Linked DNA regions of Mytilus edulis. The protein of the gene in region 2 binds, or shares a complex with, the protein of the main gene of each other region. Links are inferred from orthologs where the notes say so. Each region holds a gene or a part of one and is shown on either strand. Other genes may lie near its edges. The genes, in order: electron transfer flavoprotein subunit beta-like; medium-chain specific acyl-CoA dehydrogenase, mitochondrial-like; electron transfer flavoprotein subunit alpha, mitochondrial-like.

Region 1 (8,003 bases), on a different chromosome or scaffold from region 2:
TGTTATTCTTTATTTATTTGTAAGGTAGATATTTCCTTCATAGATCACATGGCTCAATAAATTCCTATGAGTGTATTCCATCAACTAATTTTACATGAATCATCATTGAAATATATATTAAGATCATAATGGATCATGAAAATCTAGGACAACTGACCTCAACACTAAGAGACGCTTTCAGTTTTACACCTATAGTCATGCATATTTTAAATTCTGTAGCAAAATGTTACCATTTTGTACACTGAAAACATTTTGAACATTATAAGGAAATCTGTGATTGGTTGATTTTTGTTTGCTTTACAACAAGTGGTAAGGACAATATATGTACAATTAATGATTCTTATGATACATTACAAAATACAAACTTAGAAATTTGTTCGATACATTTTGTGTCAGAAGAGTAACACATTCTATAAAGATAAAATAATGAATTGTTAGCTTAAAAATCAGGGGAATTAACATAAACACATGGCAACTATGTTATCCTACATAAACATGATAAAAATTCAGATGTACAGATCTGTTAATTAAAACTATCATCATTCCTTGCAAGTTTACTGTCTCTAACATTTAGTTTGCTAAACATGCTAAGTATTAGACCGTTGGTTTTCCTGTTTGAATGGTTTGACACTAGTAATTTTGGGGCCCTTTATAGCTTTTTGTTTGGTGTGAGCCAAGACTCTGTGTTGAAGGCCGTACATTGACCTATAATGGTTTACTTTTATAAATTGTTATTTGGATGGAGAGTTGTCTCATTGGCACTTACACCACATCTTCCAATATCTAAGTAGTAATTTTATATTTATGCCTGATAATCATATTTGACCTAACTCATTTAACTCATATGTAAACAGACCTGACATTGCTTTGGTCCACATGACACAGCTATCACTTCTGATGCTATTTTCTTTTCTTTAAGTCTAACAGCTTCTTCTATAGCTATTTCATCAAATGGGTTCATACTATGTTTGACTCCATCAGTTACCACACCAGTTTTATCTGGCTTCACCCGAATCTATTCAAATAAAAAGAATGCATGACTGTTATCATTCATATGAAACATTGAATTACAAATTTTACCTTGCTTACATAACTTTTGCTCTTTACATATTTATATTCCAAAAAAGTATTCCTGCAAATCACTGTATAATTATGTTAGATTCATATAATAAACACCAATGTACTTAAAGTTGAAGTGGAATGTGTCAGTAACAGTGATTTTTATCCTGGTAAGGACCTCTTTCCTTTTGGTAAGAAGTACACCAGCATAAAAATTCAATGATGGATTTTCCATAGGGTATTATTTCCGTAATAAACATGCTGATGTGAAGTGTAGTAGATTAAATCAGAAATGATGTATTCCTCTATTTATCAATGAATAAATCTGTGTTACAAGACAATAATAAGCCTACTGACCGTAGAGAACTTACATGACTTAAATTCCTTTTGGAGTCACTCAATATCACTAACCATACAATATCGGTTTTAATGCTAATCAAACCTAATCTAAGTTGGTTGTCAAAACTTCGATTGAAACTTCCTTCAGTTTCATACACATGGTATTAAAAATGGTTCTCCATTTAATCCTAAGAAACCACAAAATATTGATCTTAATTCAATTATCAAGCAACAACATGAACAATGCTCTGGAACAGCAAGAGTGATGAAGAAAATGAACTCAACCTGTGCTTCTCAGAAACAGTCCTTCAAAATTTCAATGAATTTGAAAAAGGGATTTTCCATTTATTATCCAAAATTCACAAGTTTGAATTTAAACTCTGGAATTGTGAAAATGAAAAAGACAATCATGACAATAGCTTAACCTATCCTTCATGTCCTTAGAGATTTAATACATTACATTAAAATGACAATTTCAAAAAAGTGGTTCTCTATCATATGGAAGCTCCAAAAAGTGACTAATGGTCACAAACCTATATGAGGATTCCTATGTAACCTCTACTCTGTCAGCTGCGATATATATCATGAAATAAAAACAAAGGAGGAGATAACTCTTTCAATTAATACTCTGTCCAAACAACTGAAGAGAAAATAGTTTGACCTCGGAAAAAATTGTCATAGAAAGCTGATTGAAGTTAATAAGAAATCAATATCAATAACAATTGTAAAGAAATTGGCTATGAATACGAATACAATTCAAATCTTTCATTAATTGAAAGTGAAATGATTTGATTTTGGCACTCATCTCTGATTAGACTTGAAATAAGGTAGCCATATGGCAAGCATCCTGTGCTATTCTAACATTTGTATTTTGATGCCTTTAAAGATTTTGTTGGATTAACTTCATTAACATGATTAAAGATTAGTACAGGCTGTTTTAGAGTTGCAGCATAATGATAATGCAGGATTTTGCATCACTTATATGTATCCTGCTAGGGCCCTCCAGGAACTCTAGAATCATCTGCCAGGAACCTAAATATGCAAAGTTGACACTTACACAAAGAGATCCTGTTCCATTTCCCATGTTTAGTGTATGTGCTTCACTTTAGGCCATGGGCATAGCTGGGGGACTATTGTACTTATTCTATTATTATTCTTAGTATAAATTATTATAGTCCCAGGACAAAAACTATAGGCTATAGCTACAATTTTCATGCCACTGAATACAGAGACTTTTGTGTGACATGTCATTTCATTACTTTATCGTTTATACATTTACATATTAGCCCATTTGTGAAATTAATATGGTCTTTTATGTAATTGATGATACTTAAGTCATTTGTAAGTGTAAGCTCTAAATAAAAAAGTGGTAAAGGTTAAACTTTAACAAAAAAATAACATGTTTAACCAAACGCTTGTTACATATTTTTTAACATATTTTGTAAAAAGTTGTCCTGACTATTTAGACTGCTATGAATATTTCCTATAGGGTGACAATATCTTACTTTAACAGCATAATCTATAACTCTTTTGCAACCAACTAACACTCTCAGTGCTGACATTTTGACCTTTGAACCGGGAGAATTTATTGGAGCCCTAATAACGACAACTTTAATTTTTATTGTAATGGATAAATCGTCAATAAAATTACACTGTTAAAAATAAAGTTATTAGAATTTCAATTAAACTTTACCACACCAAGCAAACTAAAGTTAAAAAAAAAAAGAATAAAGGTTATAAAAACATTTGAATAATAAGTTATCCTTTGTATAACTTTTGTGGTTTTCAAAGACAGAAGAGTTTGGCAAAGAATCATGTGAAATGTGAAAATGTAAATGTTGATATAAAAAAGACCTGCTACTAAGTGTCAATGTTTAGGAACAAACAGTTTTCGAATTAAATGAAAAAAGAAACCTTTTTTCAGTAACATGTATACCGGAATATGATTTTTTAAACTCAATGACAATGTTGTATACGACAACTCGTACTCAACCAACTCGTACCCTATTTTTATCAACTCGTACCTATGCTTTATTTGATATTATTTATAGATAAACGGACAGAAAGTCACAGGACAAAAAGTCACAGGACATAAAGTCACAAATTTGATAGGACAAAAAGTCACAAATAATTTGTTGACAATTATTTGAATATATATATAAGAGAAATATTTTGAAATATTTACTTTTATAAATACATATATTCATATAAATAAAATGATATATAAATTATATATCATTTTATTCTGGTATCACCTAAGTTGGACAAAGGTATACAGAAAAACACATTAGTTTACATTACATTGCATATATGTAGTATTGTACATTTGTTGAGGAAGCATTAAATATGAGTTTTTTACAACAGTATGATCAGTATAGCCGACAGGTTAACATCAGAGAGAATCCAGTTTGTCATTTATAATTCTAATAAATTGGCACAATTTTCGAAGTTTAGATTTCTGTTTTTGGTTCATAATAGCATTAAATTTTAAAACATTAAAGTTTGTTAGTCATTTCTTGTCAATAAGTAGTGTTCTATCTGTTAAGAGACTGCTGCATTCCATTACATAGTGGTATTCGTCACCTATAGCAACTCTGCACAACGGACACTTTCTCTGTTCTCGGGGAATGTTTTGCCATCTACCATTTTCAATCGGCAGTTTATGGTTCATTGTCCTAAACCGCGACATTGTTATTACATCTTTATCATCAAGTACGTTAAGGTAGTGTTCGAAATTGTGTGATGTCTTGCATAGGCGATAATTCAGGGCTTTCGGCGAATCGTTTACCTTTCCTGACCATGACTGTGTAAACTGATCTTCTAGTCTTTGTTTAATTATCGATTTAATGTTAGGTGATGTGTTTTGGAATGACCATAAGTAAGAGAATCCACAATTGTCTAGAATACTTTTCATCTTGTCTAACGATGGCGATCGAAATGTTGTTTCTTGTGCTAACATGAAAAGGTATCTAAACATTGCAACATTATTAAAGTTTAGGAAATGTGTCATTATACTTGAAAAATCAAGATTTATTTAATTCTAATCAGGCAAAAGATATATTTCTTGGCACCATGAAGCCATTTAAGTGCCAAACCACTTTGACATTTTGTTTTTTTTAGCAATTATTTGATCATCTTTGATATATTTTTGATAAATTTTGTTAACAAAGTTGGTTTATATACAATAGCTCAAGAAAAGTAGAAATAAGTGGTTTTTATTCAAAGAAAATAATTAGAAAAAATGAATTGTGACTTTTTGTCCTGTGACTTTCTGTCCTACATTCTTATATTTAAAACTATTATGATTGCATCTTACAAACAATGAAAGTTTTTTTTTCATTTATATGTTGCTATATAATGATATACGAAAGAAAGTGACAACAACTATGCATATAAATAGAATGTAGGACAGATAAAAAAAAAAAAAAATCTTGGCTAGTAATTTATGTCAAAAATATTACATCATCATTTCCCAATCTCAAAAGAAACCCTGTGTGTGATATTTTGCTTTAATCATAATAACTCTTTAATGCAGAGCTGAGTATGTTATGATGTAGTTCTGATGAATTGGATGAATTGTCCTTTAGAATATAAATCTCTCAATTACTCTGTAAATCTGTTTTCTTAAGGGTATATTTTTTGTTTGAATTACCTCTGGTACTATGTGGTAATGTTTGATATTTCATGGGATAAACAAAGTACTTTGAAAAATGCTACTGCATACAAAATTCAACAATAAAATATTATTTTTATAAAAATTTATTTTTTGTAAGACAGACATCAGTTATATCAAATTATTTCTGAATCATGTCCCAATTTCATTAATTTAAATTCCCAAGAGAAATTGCTATGGCTGCTGTCTTGTGAGAACTCAACTGTAACAGTATTAAAAGAGTTGTGTATATTCCTGGTTAAACACTGCAAATAGCAGATTAATATTACATGTTTCGCAAAATTAGCTATTGTTGAGGGGGGATAGGACCTTTATCGGGACTCCGGGATCAGGTGTTTTTAAGCTCGGGATTTCGGGATTGACCCTTTGGGATTCGGGAATTCTTTTTTTATTTTATTTCCGGATTTACTTTATTTAAATTTGGGACCTCTGGATTTCGTGTTTTTAAGCCCGGGATTTTGGGATCAGGACCCCTCCTACATTTTTTCCTATCCCCCCTCATTGTTGTTATTTAAAATAATATTTGTTAATTGACAGGATTCAGTTTCTCTATTTATTTTGTTCATCTGCTTCTGACACGGGAAGGATTGCTGTTATTGCCTATCTCAATCAACAGTATATCCTTGAGCACCGTCCCTTGGTGTCTCTTGCAGATGAACAAATTTCCATCTTTATAGATAATAATTTAAGTCTGTTCAAACTTTATTATTAATATTTTTTTATTTGTGCACTGCTGGACAATTAAATAATAATGGTTAAAAGGATGGAAGGAAGGAAAAAAAAGTACTTTTAATGTATTTTTGTTATTAATGCTATTTTCATTTGTTTCTTATAATATCTGTCACGTTATATACTGTACAATGTCTCATGTTTGTTGCTTATACTATCATAATTGCTAATTGTAAATGCCCCTTGTGGGACCCTTATTGGAAAAATAAAATATTTGATTTGATTTTTATTTTTTAAATATTTTCCATTTCATGCATATGTCATTTGTTTTATATTTCTAGGTGTTGGTGCAGCTTGAAAATAGAAGAATAAAGATTGATTATGTCAGGAAGCTTATTTGGGAAGATTGCCTTCTATCCAACGTTGTATTATAACAAACTTATGACAAAGATAACAAACAGACAATGGTACAACAGAATTGATGAAACAGTGGTATTGGGTGCTCTCCCCTTGAAGGAAAATAGTAAAAAGGTATAACCATCGTTAGTGCTTTCCCCTTAATAGAAATTATAAAAAACAGCCATATTGATTTCTCCCCCTTTGAGGATTTAAAAAAAATGTTGCACATCTAATGCAAATTTTGCTGTTAAGCAAAAATATATATAAAATAAACCCACCCCAAAACCAAAATTTCAAAATACAGCTTCTTAATACTATGATACATTGGAAAACACACAATCTGTGAACACCCATGGGAACATTCTAAATAGGCATCATTTGAACTGCAATGATTTTTCTTTTAAAGGGTGATGATGCAGATACACTTGATATACTTTTAACTTGATAACAAATTTTACCATGTTTATGTCTGCTTTTTTTCTGGCAAGTGCAGAAAGTACAAGATGTGAGACATCCAGCAACAGTCACTGCATAAACCATTTGTGTTAAGCTTTATATTTTAGACCGTTGAACTAGAAGACCTAGATGCTTAATATTTTTTATGCAGATACCTCTGTTAACTAGTTTATATCTGTCATTTGTCCACTGTCCTTGACCTCATTTTCATAGTTCAGTAACTGCTTGAAATAAAATGATTTTTTCAAACTACATTTTGTATATATGGGTAATTTCAACGTCTATAGGTTTATCAGGTTCAGTACACCCGACTTTTACCTTTTTTCAGTGGATGTGTAACCAAGGTTAAAGGTAGGTGAAGTCCTTATCCCAAATACTGTTGGCAAAAGGTCAAATTTATTTGATGTATGGAATTTTGTTAGGGGTATATGTCTGACTCTGACTGACAGATTTCATCTGACCTTGACCTCAATTATATGGTTCACTACGGTAAACAATATTAAGTATTTGTGTTTGGTCTATATCTCAAATGCTATAAGCTATAGGTCAAGACTCAACTCTATTTGATTATGGACATTGGACTGAACAAAATTATTGATTACGAAAGGACTAAATTAGAAAAAGATAATAAACAACAAATGAAATTTGTGAATTGATTGATAGTAAAGAGTATATGCATGTCCAACTGACAGATTTCATCTGACCTTGACCTCAATTTCATGGTTCATTGAACAATGTTTAGTTTTCATGGTTTTGTCTATTTCTAAGATACTATAAGCAATAGGTCAACTCTACATGTATGTTGTCAAGGACATTGGACTGTACAAAATTATTAACTACAAAGACTACAATGAAAAATGATAATAAAGGAACATGTCACATAAAAAAAGAAGATGTGGTATGATTGCAAATGAGACAACTTTCCAAAGAGACCGAAATGACACACAGATTAACAGCTATAGGTCACTGTACGGCTTTCAACAATGAACAAAGCCCATACTGCATAGTCAGCTGTAAAAGGCCCCGAAATGACAATGTAAAACATGCAAACGAGAAAACTAAAGGCCCTATTTATGTACAAAAAAAGAATGAAAAACAAAAAGGTAAAACATAAACAAATGACAACCACTAAATTACAGGCTCCTGACTTGGGACAGGCACATACATAAATACAAACATGTTAGCGGGATCCCAACCCTCCTCTAACCTGGGACAGTGGTATAACATGTACAGTACAACATAAGAATGAGCTATAAAAATCAGTTGAAAAGGCTTAACTCATTAGATGGACAAAAATACAAGTAACGTGGCCGACAACAACAACAAAATACACTAGGTACAAATCTGAGAGTACTCAAAGTTAATTGACAGCTAGTTCAAAGTCACTAACAACTAATAAAAAAATCAT
Region 2 (7,085 bases):
TGCAATAGAATGGTTTAAGCTAAAGATCAAATAATTCTATATATAAGATACTAAAAGTTAAAAGTAACTACAACTGTAAGGTCTCAATAACTCTGACCTCTGTAATAGTAAGGATAATGGTATCCCTACTCATTGTTGAAGAGTTAATAAGAGGTCAATATCTGATAAGATTATGCATTGTTGAAGAGTAAATCAGAGTCAATATCTGATTACTCTGAAATGAAGAGTTGGAATTAGGGTCAGATTATGCCTGTGCTTAATTGCTAGGGTCATACAACTTGAAAATGTAAATGAAGAGTTTGATCTAGGTGCAATTATACTGCTCATTTTGGGCACCTGATTGGCAAATAAAGAAAATAATGTTGTAGTTTTTGGTACATGTTTACTGTATGGTCAGACTCTGGAATGAAAAATAAGGGTGATCGTCACATTATTTTCTGATGATAGTTTTGATTAGGATTGGAAAATTCTAGGATGTGTAATCATGGTAAAGAATAGCAAAGAAGCATGTTCAATGAAAACTGTCACAAAGGATAAAAATAAATTAGGAAATGATAATACTGAAAAGCTCTTCTTCTAAAAAAAAAAAGGGAAGGTAAGAAAAAATATATGTCATGTCTTAAAACTTAAATATTCACATAACTCCTACAGTTAACTTAATAACAAAAATGTAAGGTTCATATATACAGGGGTTAAAAAATCCACTAGCCCAACGCCCGGGACTAGATCATTTATGCCTCGGGCAATTAAAATGTGTAACCCGATATGCCCGACAGACTAGTAACAAAAAAATCTTGACGTTTCCAAAAGTGGAAAATCCCTTCATTACTATTCTATGTTAGCCAATCCGATTCAATTAATAATTATAAGTCATCAGGGATTCCAAGAATTTGAACTGGTTTGTACAGGTCCTGTTGTACATATTTTAAAAACAGAACAAATAACTCTGGGTGGCCCAGTATCATGTGTTGATTACAATTCTCGTACTTTAAATATCGATTTCTCATACCATGGCCTGGGGTATTGTTCATTGCTTATGCCGAGATTTTCAATTAACGGTATTTGGGGATATGATGTATTGATCGGTACTGACCTGTCTTGTTGCAAAGCTCTTGAGCACGAAACCATGCAACAAATTATTTCTTAATATTTTAGTACGGGAACCCCAGGAACTTTGTCAGTTTCAAAATGAAAAACGGTAGATGAAGGGAGTAGCGAGGCTGAAAATTCATCCCCCAAAAATGCTAAATACGATAGGGAAAAGCCGCGGAGTGTCCAGGACAGCAGGGCTGCCAAGTCGCACACACCCTATGAACTTCATCAGTTTCAAAACAAAAAATGGTAGATGGAGGGGGTAACGAGACTGAAAATTCATCCCCCAAAAATGCAAAATACGACCGGGAAAAGTGGGGAAAAAATTATAGTGTCCAAGACAGCAAACCTGCCAAGTCTTTAGGGCGAGACTCACCCATTTTCATGCTTATTTGGCGGCATTTTCCTTGTTTTTTCTCTTTGATCTTTATAATTTGGCCAAAAAATCACGCATTTACTTCCTGAGAATTTGGCAGAACTGGGATACAACAATTCCCCTCGAAGGTTGGCTGTTGCTGATGAAAAAAACAGATGATGCTCTGTGAATATTACCGTTAGTTACCCAAATCATGCCAATAAAAAGTTTGCTTTGAATGTGGGAACGACTAAGTTAGTTTAAGCACCAACAATAAATAGCAATTCAACCAAAAATATTAAATACAGTCAAGTGTATAATGTCTCCTTCAAAACAAAAGACACCCACTTTGTATTATGCAGCAAACTCTTGATTTTTAAGGCATACTAGGGCTAGCAGGTCAGTTTTGATGGACTAGCAGTTCTTCCAACAGGGCTAGTAAAAACCTGCTGCCATAAGTCCTGGGCTAGTTAGCTGTAACAAATTTTTTTAACCCCTGTATATAACTACATTGTACTATGTTTTTGTTTCAATATTTTGATAGAAATAATTCAGCACTAATATATTACCAAAAGAGAAACCTCCGGAGCCCTGAGCTGATGTGGAATTCACTGAGTCTGGAACTGTTCCAAAAGCTCTGGCTGCTTTACATAAACTTTGCTTTCCTTGTCGAATCAATCCACTAGACACCTAAAAAAAATCATACAAAGTATATCTCTGCAGTGTTTTTCTACAGAAGACAAAAAGTGTCTGTGTCATTTCTTAACAAGCAGTTTTTGAAACTGTTTCCCTTTGAAATTGGTCATAACACAGACAAAACATGTAATAATGATTGATTAATTATCTAAATTACATAAGTTAACTTTGAAACATCTCAAAATCTATTGTAAACCATGAAAACTAAACGGGGTATAATTTTCATCAGACATAAGCAAAAGAAACAAATAATTTCAACAAATCTGCTTTATACATGCAAGGTTTTACATAATGCAATTCTTAAGGTTAAAATGTTTTAACTAAGATTCTATCTGAGAAAATAAAGGTGCTCTGTGGTATTTCTAGAGACCAGTTATGTCATGTCAAATATTTATATAATCAAAACTTGTAGTGTTATGTAAAAGTCAGGAGACCAATTTGAAAGTCAACATTAAACAGGTGCAAGCTTTGTGTTCTTATAATTCATATCGTCAAATGTATTTTAAAATTGTTCATCTGTAAGCATAGAACAACTCGAAGACAGACTGGAAATTATGCAACTCATCATGTTCATAATTTTTACATTTGTCAGTTCGTGGGTCATGTAACAATCCAATGTTTGTTGTGTTTAATATTATACTAAGAAAATGAGTAGGAACACAACCAGCATAGGTGCTATGTGTTCACATGTATCTTATGCTTTTCAAAACATTTAAGGAATATATAAACAATGATAAGTTACCTTCGACAACGACATTGCCATTTTTTCAAAACTATAAACTGTAGTCACATGACTTACACCAGAGATACAACGAATAACATAAGTACATAATCAACATTCAAGGACAGCAACGTCCTATTGAGCGTTAGCTGAATACCGAGTAATTTCAGCAAGTACAATTCTAGGCACCCGTATGGTCTTAAATATTATGGCTCATAGAAAATTAAGGCCATTTTTTCTTCTGGGAATAACAATTTTAACATTACCGAATATTTTAAAATATTCCTAGATCTTCGAAATACTGGAGTAAAAATCAACTACCCAGTGCTGCTGGTTAGGGATATTTATAATTTTATTTAAGGCTTTCAATGATGCACGCATAATAATTTGTAATTTCTGTTTTTTATAAGTATCATAAAAATTTATACATTTTTTATTCAGAAATAACTCACATTTATCAAATATTCAAACCAAATGGCATTTTAAAAAAGAGGTACATGAACTCTTTTCCAAGTTAAATCAGTTTGAATGATAAAAAAACAGTCGAAAACTGAATCTTTTCCCGATAAGTCATAGTTTGACGTCGCAAAAATAACAATTTATGTTAGTAATGTCATGACCTCCTCTGTAACTGTATCGTATGCCCTTAATAATGCACCTGCAATCATACACAACGCTTTACACAACTTTGAATTCTCCGAGTTTCTTAAATATATATATAAAAGGACAAACTTTCAATTTTTGTTTTGAGCGAGAAGATTGACCAATCAAAAACAAGCATCTCAAGAAATATTTTTCCTCAAAATGGGTCCTAAATGAACGTGACGGTCATTTGGGCGTAACGCAATTTATTGAATGACGTCATTGTTTGGCATATGACGTCACAAACGTCGAGTTTTCATATTTTTTGGCACACGAAATGCAACTATAAAAAAGAATTCATTGACATGCCATACAAAACACACAAACAAAATACAAGTAACAATTTTTTTTAAACATCAGCACGCAAATTGTAAGGTAACCCAGGTGCTTCGACAAGACAAAAGTAGAACTGAAGTTAACCAAGGCGCAAATGATCAAAAAGCAGTTCATATATATATATGTCTCCTGTTGAAATATATGATAAAGCGTATAAAACATTGCAAAATCCGTATCACATGCCGTATCACCCTCGGGCTGATATTGGTATCTCGGGATGATACGGCATATGATACGGATTTTGCAATGTATTATTCTCTATGTTTCAGCATTGCATGCGTTTTATAGACGAAACGCCATCTAATAAGTCATTGAGATGACCTCTAAAAACTGCCGAGGTTCATATAACCTGATACAGTCGATACAATCATAAATATAAACACAAATAGATAGGGAGCACGTGCAATCTGACTTTTCAACTGAGATCTGTTTGATTTCATGTTATAGTAAAAATATTCATATAGGGCCTCCCTTGTCATTCTTTTCTTTTTTATGAATGGTCTTGATGAATATATAATATAAACAATCTCCCTAAAGGTTAAATTAAAGGTTACATGATCAATACAGATTGGCCTGATTCAAAGAAGCTGAATTATTGACTTGCAAGTCAATAATACTACAGTGATTGACTTTTTTAGTTTAGCTTTGACGATATTAAACCAAACATACTGCTTAAAGATTTTTTCTCGATTTCCTGTTCTATAAAGTCCTATAAATGTTTGAAATATCTTTTTAAGAAGTCGAAGCTAAAATCCCTTTAACTGTGTTGCAAGTGCTATAGATCCGCTTTTGATTAAGGCTTTTTGAGACAAACCGTCAAATGAGTACTTGAAGAAGTTGAGTCTGAATATAGCTACACTTATAAGTGTTAAAATATACATCAGATCATATACCATATGACACAAGTTGATCAATTTAATTGTCAATTGTGATAATTGCATCGAAATACATTTTTTTCAATTAATTTCCTTAAAATAGATTTCCGTTAGCGTGATCTAATTTGATTTCATAATACAATTATACGGATGTACTTATTTGAACACTTAGATCATATCCTTGAATATGATGCAATGAAGTCATCCGTTACAACACCCTTTTATATCGGCTACATGCACTTTTATTAGATACAATAAATAACAAAAATCAAATTTGTGCAGTATACGATTGCAACATCCATTGTATATAATAGCAATCAGAATGGCACACAAAACTCTGTTTTATACGATAGGAAAAAAAACAATTGTTTTGAACAGAAATCTAAAACCCAGATTCTATTGAATTTCCCGTAGTGATAGTCGATTATAGGGTTCGAAAAACATGTTACAGAAGATAAATGATGTCCGTCACCGCCAGTTATTATAAACCGATGCAGATGATACTTGTTTTCAAATGGTACAAAATTGACAGTTAAGTTAAACGCTGAATTTTGATTTAATTTTTTTTTATTAATTGTGATCTGTCCACATCTATATAGATATAGGAAGATGTGGTGTGAGTGCCAATGAGACAACTCTCCATACAAATAACAATTTAAAAAGTAAACCATTATAGGTTAAATGCTTTCTTCATTCGGCTATTCATATATTTGAAGAATAAAAGACGTAAAATATTTGAAGGAATGATTTCATATTCACCAATCGGGAAGCTGAAATTATATCTTTGTCTTAAACTTTTGTTCTCAACCGAACCTCTTTGTCAATTTGAAGATGTACAAGTCAAGATATGAGTCAGACATAACTGTATCTGTAACATGTTGGATAGCTGTAGATGCGTCCAAGATAGTCTCCAAACTTTTAATTATTTAGCGAAAGAACATCCTCTGTGCAGCGGAGAGTGAAGTTAAAGTGTTATGCTAACTTCTTTTCATTATTCATAAGAAGCTGCTGTATGAAGTATGCCACATACGAAAAGGGGGGGGTTGTGGTGGGGTGGGGGTAAAATTCCAAATTTCTGAATTCTTATCTGGGGCTTTGCCTGACTAATAAGTGTTCAAATAGATTATTTGTAACTTCATATTGTGTACACATGCCGTGATACAAGTTGATTGATTCACTTGATTATAGAAGTGATTTGTGTATAGAAATAGATTTTTTATTCAAATCAAGTAATTTCCTCTTTTATTATCTAATTTTGTATTATGAGCATGCAGAAATGATACAGATGACATAATGGTACTTTTTTTAGCACTTACATGTATATATTTATTATAGATCAAACGATGTCTGCTCTTTACAAATCATCATAGACCATAATTGTATATAATACTTGTTTTCAAGTGGTACATGAGAGTAGTTGAAGGTTATTTTATAATTTCGAACAGAAAGTAAAATGATATGTATATTGTTGCATGACAAAAACACCCGTATGTTAGTAGATACAAAGGTGATTATAATAATATCCCTAGACAAAACAAACAAATAACAAAACTATGACCAAAGACAAGATGTACAAAAGTTTATATCACCTAGTAAATATATAGCTTTGGCTATACGACGATCGTCATTGTATTGCATACAGCTTATCTCAACTTAACATCCCGATTTTTAACATGCTTTTATATTTTAGTTCTAGTCCGTCCTACATCTGTTGTTTTTATTATTTTACATTGTACCATAGCTTAATTAATCCTCACGAATTACTGTAGGTATATATCTGATTTCCATGTTTTATTAAAAAGATGTCATGTTTTTTTCTCTTTCATTGTAAGTAATTTTTAAATAGCAGTACTTTCTTTTATAGGCGCTTTGTTAACTCACTTTATCCAGTATTTTAGGTTCATGTATTAAACACCCGAGCTGATAATAAAAGTACAGTGACTATCATTGATTAATTTGTTGTTTAACTTCTTACAATGTCAGCCAATTCCTACAAAATAGAACACAACATATTAAATTTATTATTTAGAAAGTTAATTACAAATGTCAGTTTGTTTATCATGTTTATAGAGTAATTCTGGTAGGATAAAGAGCGTTTCAAGAAAATCTTGAGCTATGAAAAGATTGCTCGAAAGATTTTGTTCTCGTATAAAAGGTAAGTATTTTCCTCAAATAGTAACTATGGTTACACGGTAAACAGGAAAAAAGTGAACAATTTGGAAACCACTTTGCGGTTCGCCTATTGTGTCGACTATTATGTTTTTTGTTTGGGCGGTTCTCTGTTAAGTATGTTTTACGTGTGTTTTTACTGTATTTCTGTCACGTGGTGTTTTAGCTTTAATTTTAACATTGTCATAAAGCGGGAGGT
Region 3 (7,337 bases), on a different chromosome or scaffold from region 2:
AAGACCTGAAAATATACGACTAAAATTATTCAAATTGCAATAACTTTTTTATTATTGGATGGAATTTCTTCAAGTTGGAATTTTATTAATTGTAAATATTCAGATTTCATTCAAATTAAAAAAAAATTAAATAAAAAACAATTTTTTGATGCCAAAAGTTGGACCTGAACGGAGAAATGAAAAGACCTGAAGGGACCTGAAAATCTATGTCGGACTAATTCTAACTACAATAACTTTTTTAATATTCAATGGATATCTTTCAACTTTTGATTTTATGACACAAAAAGTTCAATATAATGATAATATGAAAAAAAATATGTGAAAAATATTGTTGGGGTGTCAAAATTCGGACCTGAACGAAAAATTCAAAATCTGAATGAGCCTAAAATTCCACATTATTTTAAAACGAAAATAATAAACATAGACGAAAAATATGATTGATAACTTTTCATGTTCGATGTCATTTGGTCTCTTGTAGAGATCTGTCTCATTGGTATCACACCACATCTCCCTATTTTTTATTGACAGGAGATACTAACATGATAAAGATTGAAGATACCAAGGAATAATCAAAACTCGGATGTCAAAACTTATAAGTCAAAGAGATATACCATAGAAATAAATAATTGAGAAAAAGGTTTGGTGTCTTTAAACTACAATAACCCCGTCACAATTTTTGTGGTGTCCCAAGTCTGGAACCTGCACTTTGTGACAAACGTCGGACCTGTTGAATGAAAAATGAAGTCCTGAATGAACCTGGATATATATAGCGTCTCGATCGGTATGATGTTAGTCTGGTGTGTTCAGTTAGCAAAGGTAATGGCAATGCAGGAGACATGCTGATATATAATAACGTTGGAAACTATACTTGTACGCACTTTGTTGAATATTTTTATTCTGACTAAAAACGATTCAAAGTTGACTATAATTTATAAAAAGTAAGAGCGTTGATCTGAATTCACTGATTAGTTTGATATATGCTTATATTTTTAATTTGTAAAGTTTATACTTGAATGAATGAATCTTTATTGCAAAGCATAGACAGGCTATGGCAAAATTAACAACATATATTACATAATATAAAACATGAATAGACAACAGAGAACAATAGTAAAATACAATGACATATAAATTGAGTTATGAGACTATATAAGATCGAATATTCAATGCAGCTTTTACATAATTACATAATTTGATCGTGAGAGACTTACTAGAAGCTTGTAGTAAATTTAATAGTTTGATATTATTAGGCCAATGACAATAGTACTTTGGTAAAAATTGTGTTCGTACAGATCTATACTATACTTTAATTGGTGACCGAGCAATGTTTAGTTCGTGTAACAAGATAAAGTGATAATCCAATTAGAAGATTAAAGTGAAATGTTTATTTAGACTAATGATCCAATTATCACCTAATATCAAAACAAGGTGTGAATTACAACCGGCACACGTTCGTGTAATTAAAACATTCCAATCGACGAACTCTTTAAATGACATATGGTTTATGGGGAAGCAATACTAATACTTTCATTTTATAAATAAAGCAGTTTACGACCAGCTTTAATATAGAATAAGAATAAAATATATATTAATGTAGTTTAAACAAGTTGTATTAGTTTGAATAATTTCAACGTACAATCTTCCTCTTTTTTCCCCTTAGGTTCAGGATTCATCAATAACAATGTACTTTGTTTTCAAATATGTTCCTGTATAAATATAAAGTCATTCGTTCTCTTCAATAGACTTTTGTCTAAAATAGAAACAAATAGGAAAACAATGTTTTGCGAGTTTAAATACAACTACCCCTATAATCCATTCATGTCTTTTATTTCACCGACAAGGTCCGAATTTTGTAACTAAATAATTATATTTTCGATAAAATTCTTTATAATTTCATTGATATATTATACCTTTCCTATAACAAAATTCATATTTCAAGGAGAATGATTGAAAACAGTTAAAGATATTGAATAAATCTGACCGCAGTCTTTTCAAGCAAATTTATGTTCCTTAATTTTCCGTTCAGTTCCGAGTTTTCACACCCAAATGGTATTTTTCATATTTTTTTTTTAATTTTATCATTATATTGAACTTTTTGTGTCACAAAAACAAAAGTTGAAAGATATCCATTGAATATTAAAAAAGTTATTGTAGTTAGAATTAGTCCGACATAGATTTTCAGGTCCCTTCAGGTCTTTTCATTTCTCCGTTCAGGTCCAACTTTTGGCATCAAAAAATTGTTTTTTATTTAATTTTTTTTAATTTGAATGAAATCTGAATATTTACAATTAATAAAATTCCAACTTGAAGAAATTCCATCCAATAATAAAAAAGTTATTGCAATTTGAATAATTTTAGTCGTATATTTTCAGGTCTTTTCAGGTCTTTTCAGGTCCACTTTCAGGTCTTTAGTGTAACCCAAATTTTAATATATATATTTTATTTCATCATTAATGTAACGTATCCATTGTACATATATATCATAAATGAAAATAGGGCGAAAGAACCCAGGGCGAACAAACTCAGTGCGAACGAACCTAGGGCAAACATGTAATCAGAGCGAACGATCCCGATACCCAAGCGTACATAATCCTTATAATCATGATACTAACACCAACACTGTACATGCTGTTCTTGCTGTATATGCATACATGTATATATTTTTTTATTTCTAAGTTTATGTTATGTAAAAATTAAATGAAAACTGTTGTTTGTAAACTGTCCTTGTGGGACATTGACTGGTTAAATGGAATATTTCATTTATATAATCTGATAATTTTACAAAAATCAAAGGTCAAAGTTGCAAAGTGACGCATTATCAATCTTTATAAAAACATATATACACAAATAATAAAGATAACTCTTTAAAATGATATGCAAAAAAAGTATTATCGTTAGTTTACCGTCTGATTAGCTAATTTTGTTCTGCAGCACCTCGAAAACATTTTTATGCAACAATATTTTTACCCCGGAAGTAATCGGACTGTTGAAATATTAAAACAAATGCGGGCAGAAACGACATTCGTATTGGTCAAGACTGACTTGCTTCCCTGCTTGCTTCAAGGCTTCAAGTGCAAGATGCCAAAACCTCAACATATAGACCATTCCCCCGAAGCTAGCATAACTACACCAAAAGAGGACATTGCCAATGTCCCCAAATTTGGTTGGAGAGTAAACTTCGAACATGAATGCAAGGACAAATGTGATCCATTTGTAAAACCCAGACTCACCCACATTCCTGAATTAATTGGTCTTAGCTATAGGTAAACGTTTTACATTGTGACCAGACATTGTACATTATGCCACATATTAAACATGGTTATAGGTACGAATTTACTAGGGTGTTTCAAGTTTTTAAACATGCATAAAGACTGGCAAGGTACTTTGTGGAAAGGTGCTGTTGCACATGCATCAAAATTGCATGCTCCTTCTAGACAAATCAAGAAAGATTTATGTTTGTTTCTTTAAAAATTTGTTGGCTAAATTGTACCGTTCTTTTGCCTCATTGCACATGTTGCAAAAATAGACTGATTAGTCCAGGATGCACAACATTTCCTATAACTGGAAATCATGGAATCTTTGCTTGTATATGATAACATTTTATTTGAATGAACAAGATTAAGAAAGAAATTTGTGTCAGGGATTTGAATTGGATGAAAAAACTTCTGAAATTTGTTATTTGTTTACGTTGCAGCCATCTATATTCCAAGGCACATATCACATAATTTCTTTTTCTATATTATTACAGCATCTGGTCTGTTTCTAACATACATGTATGTGGATGACATTACTTTTGCCAGAAAATGTTCCTTTTTATCACAAAATTGTGTTTCTACAAAACCTTTCCTACAATAATTTTGTATTTTTTTACACTTGGCAAGTCAGATGACTTATATAGAGAGATACCGTTTAACAGAAATACACCAGGAAATTTTCAAGCAATTTCTTTAATATGATTCCAATATGGCCTTTATATGAGCCTTGATGCAAATGCTCTATTCATTGAATGTTGAACTTCAGGCGCGGATTCAGAGGGGGGGTTCTGGGGGTTGGAACCCCCCCTTTTTTTTGGACGATCAATGCATTTGAATCGGGACATGTAATTGGAACCCCCCCTTTGTCCTGGGTTAGGAACCCCCCCTTTTTAAAAGGACTGGATCCGCCCCTGAACTTGGATAGTGTATTTTCCATAAGTTTAGTTCTAAAATGCTTACGGTAAATGTCAAAGGTTAAAAGAATTCTTATGTGTCTGTTGGTGGCATGATGCAAGACAAAATCGTAACATCATGAAATATTTTCCACTGCAAACAACAATTAATCTATTTATCAGAAAAATGTTATTGAATGTCGGAAAGTCTAAAACTTTGTACTGTTGGTTGTTACAGATATATGAAAGTATGGATAAAGCACAAAAGACAGGGAAGAATAATGTTTATAGATCATCTCAATCAAGTTACTCACAAGCCTATTTATGGTAAGAATTAACAGAAGACATAGTTTGTGTTTAACTGAATCCCCAAATTGAGTGGACCACTGCATCAAGTCTTGGTATCTGAGTCGTCTAAGGAGTTTATCTACTGTTTCACTAGTCTGTCCACAATGTGGTATCAGGTTTCCTACTGAAACTTGCCTCAGTGGTTCTGCTCAGAGACCTGGGCTTCAAAACTAATAAAAACTGACCACCATAGTATTGACAATAGTTTTGAAGGGTGATTTATATACCAAAAAATTCTGACAGGATTTTTTTCCTATTTTGAGACTCGTCAATCAATTTTAATATCTAGAATTGGAGACGCATTGTATTGCTCAAAATTTTTCTTGATGATCTGCTTTTATGTCGACAAACATGGTAACTTTTTTGTGACGTTTCAATAACATGTTAAATATCTGTCAATGAGACAGTAAACAAATGATAAAAAAAAAAAACCCCAAAAAGATAGCTTGTCAGAGAAAATTTGACAGGTCAGGTTTTAACAATAAACCTGAAATAAAGGTCACAGGTCATATTAAATGGGTAAAACTGATACATACTAAATTCAGGTCCCGTAACTTAGAATGAGTTCGACATGTTAGATATGATGAAATAATACAATATTTGTAGGACTTTTTTCTAGTGAGAATTCTTTAAATATACTTGTACATATTTTGCAGGTGGTCTTATAAGGGATATAGATTGTGGAATGGTTTAATCTTGTTTATTTTGCATGATTTCTGTATGGCAATGTAAGTTGTGGGCCAATTGACTGTTTCTGCCTGGGAAAGTTGTGTTGGTTTACTGTCAATTCAGAAATTATTGTGAGGTTTTTATTATTGCGAAAAATGCAACAAAGTTGTAAACGCAATAATTTAAACTAGCATTTTGAAATATTTTATATAATTTTTTTCTCAATATCCTAAAAATTGAAATCACATTTAAGTCTAAAATGACAAAATCACAATAGTAAATGCCGGCAATAATTTCTGAATTTACAGTAACTATATCATTTATGTATATTTATTACAAGTGCATGGTTGAGGATTTTTTTAATAATTTTGTAGATATTTCATAATATGTTTAGTGGTTGTCTTATTAGTGGTATGGATTGTGGTGTCAAGAAATAGAAGTTCCTTTAATCTTGTATTGTAAGAAGAATTCTTAAGATAAACTGTTACATATTTTACAGGCTGTCCAATAGGTGGTATAGGGTGTGGGACCATTGGTCGTGGTTACCGAGGTGAATTTTGTAGATTTCAGATGGTGCCAGGGATATATGAACATACTATTGTACCAGCAAATTCTGTAAGTACAATAATAACTGCAATCTTCATGACCTACCATTGTCAAACCTAATGAGAGTGGTATAATGCTATTCTGGTGTATGCCATCTGTTTGTCCATCTGTTCATTCCATAAAAGTTCTGCCACATTTTTCTACGGTATTACATTTACATATCAAAACTTCCTTAAATTCAGATTTTGAACTTTTTGTTAACTGAATACCTATAATATATTGTTACAAATTCTGACCATGTATGAAATTTAGTGTTCAGGAACTATAAATAAGAATTTTCTGAAATGTGGCATCAATATTGTTGGAAAGGTATTTTACTGTGGAGCACATGGAAAAATTATAATTTCACCATAAAATACATGACAATGTCAATCTATGATAAATTGTTGATGAGAAGTCAGTTTTATGCTTATATGATCATGGTTGAATTTTTTATCAAGTAGTATTTTCACCATGCATTTGTACAAGATACAGGAGAAAGAAACTATCGAAAATATAAGATGCAAAGAATGGGGCAACTTTAATTTCCTGGTTAAGTAACTATAGTGAGTTCTAGCATAAGGAAGATTTGTAGATACCAACCACATCAGACAGACACTGGTTATTTTTTTTGTGAAAGCAAAGTGTATAAATGGATAACTTTTTCTATCCTTTAGCCTTTTTTTAGTTTTAAAGCATAGGGTATTGATTTTGCTCATTGTTGATGGCTGTATAGTTGTCTAATGGTGTTTACATCTATGTCCTTTGTAGATAATTGTCTCATTGTCTCATCATCTTATTTTTATATTATAGTTTGTTTCATGTTTCTATCTTTGTTTTGTAGTTCATCTTGTGTATACGAAAGAACAATAAAACTGTTTACCAAAAAGTCTTAACAGGAGGAAAAGGGAAGCACTTAAAATCCTGGGAATGGGGATTTCCCAGACAGAATGCTACATATCATGCACTTTATCCCCGATCATGGACTGTATATGATATACCTGAGTTTAATCTTAAACTTACCTGTCGTCAAATATCACCCATCTTCCCTAATGATTACAAGGTAGGTTGTAAACACATTTCCCTAACTGATGTAATAGGCAAAATTGTATATATTTTCTGTATCATTTGTTATTATGCGCATGATGAGAGGATTAAATTAGCAAGCAACAATTACTCAATATAGGGCCAGGTTACATAAATAAGGTGTAATACCACAAAATCATAGTACATCACATCTGGTTGCATACGATAAAAGGATTGAAAAAGTATTCCCTTGAATTTGACAGTTGTAGGAAATTTATCCTACATTTATTGCAGTAAACAAATCTGTGTCATAGACTTATATCTTGGGTGTTTCAAAGTACCATTATGTTTTTTAATTGATTTTTTCTATAGAATATTTTGGAAACTTGAGGTTTCCTGGTTTCTTAAGCTTGTACACAGGAAGAAAAAGGTTGAAAATTTGATTGGTTAACTTCCAGTGATGGTTATTTTTTTTATATGCAATAAACATCATGGGAATTTTTTCTATAGTGCTCGACATGACGAAACTTTACTCATGCCAAGTATTTCTTTATTTGAAACA

What was found.
Region 1: the proteins of medium-chain specific acyl-CoA dehydrogenase, mitochondrial-like (region 2) and electron transfer flavoprotein subunit beta-like are in contact, whole or in part, in a crystal structure (PDB 2A1T), measured with the Homo sapiens proteins. The link is inferred for Mytilus edulis from reciprocal best matches to the Homo sapiens genes ACADM and ETFB. Residues at the interface, in NP_000007.1 of Homo sapiens: Glu43, Gln44, Lys46, Glu47, Phe48, Thr51, Lys54, Phe55, Glu58, Glu59, Arg80, Glu83, Leu84, Gly85, Leu86, Leu98, Leu100, Ile108; in NP_001976.1 of Homo sapiens: Glu73, Arg76, Thr77, Tyr192, Ala193, Thr194, Leu195, Pro196, Ile198, Met199, Lys202.
Region 3: the proteins of medium-chain specific acyl-CoA dehydrogenase, mitochondrial-like (region 2) and electron transfer flavoprotein subunit alpha, mitochondrial-like are in contact, whole or in part, in a crystal structure (PDB 2A1T), measured with the Homo sapiens proteins. The link is inferred for Mytilus edulis from reciprocal best matches to the Homo sapiens genes ACADM and ETFA. Residues at the interface, in NP_000007.1 of Homo sapiens: Pro163, Lys173, Pro211, Gln232, Arg235, Glu237, Val251, Glu253; in NP_000117.1 of Homo sapiens: Arg223, Lys226, Arg249, Asp253, Ala283, Ile284, Gln285, Glu304.

What each region holds. Positions count from the first base shown.
Region 1 is NC_092348.1:27,180,307-27,188,309, reverse strand, and holds the start of electron transfer flavoprotein subunit beta-like, read right to left. Parts: upstream 3,061-8,003; 5' UTR 2,961-3,060; coding exon 2,904-2,960; intron 1,016-2,903; coding exon 857-1,015; intron 1-856. Other genes in the region: phosphatidylglycerophosphatase and protein-tyrosine phosphatase 1-like, read left to right, coding at 6,122-6,271. UniProt on the Homo sapiens protein: Heterodimeric electron transfer flavoprotein that accepts electrons from several mitochondrial dehydrogenases, including acyl-CoA dehydrogenases, glutaryl-CoA and sarcosine dehydrogenase.
Region 2 is NC_092345.1:9,940,073-9,947,157, forward strand, and holds the start of medium-chain specific acyl-CoA dehydrogenase, mitochondrial-like, read right to left. Parts: upstream 3,018-7,085; 5' UTR 2,907-3,017; coding exon 2,886-2,906; intron 2,138-2,885; coding exon 2,017-2,137; intron 1-2,016. UniProt on the Homo sapiens protein: Medium-chain specific acyl-CoA dehydrogenase is one of the acyl-CoA dehydrogenases that catalyze the first step of mitochondrial fatty acid beta-oxidation, an aerobic process breaking down fatty acids into acetyl-CoA and allowing the production of energy from fats.
Region 3 is NC_092347.1:28,765,442-28,772,778, forward strand, and holds the start of electron transfer flavoprotein subunit alpha, mitochondrial-like, read right to left. Parts: upstream 3,004-7,337; 5' UTR 2,946-3,003; coding exon 2,904-2,945; intron 1-2,903. Other genes in the region: non-lysosomal glucosylceramidase-like, read left to right, coding at 3,004-3,263, 4,386-4,474, 5,664-5,779, 6,594-6,812. UniProt on the Homo sapiens protein: Heterodimeric electron transfer flavoprotein that accepts electrons from several mitochondrial dehydrogenases, including acyl-CoA dehydrogenases, glutaryl-CoA and sarcosine dehydrogenase.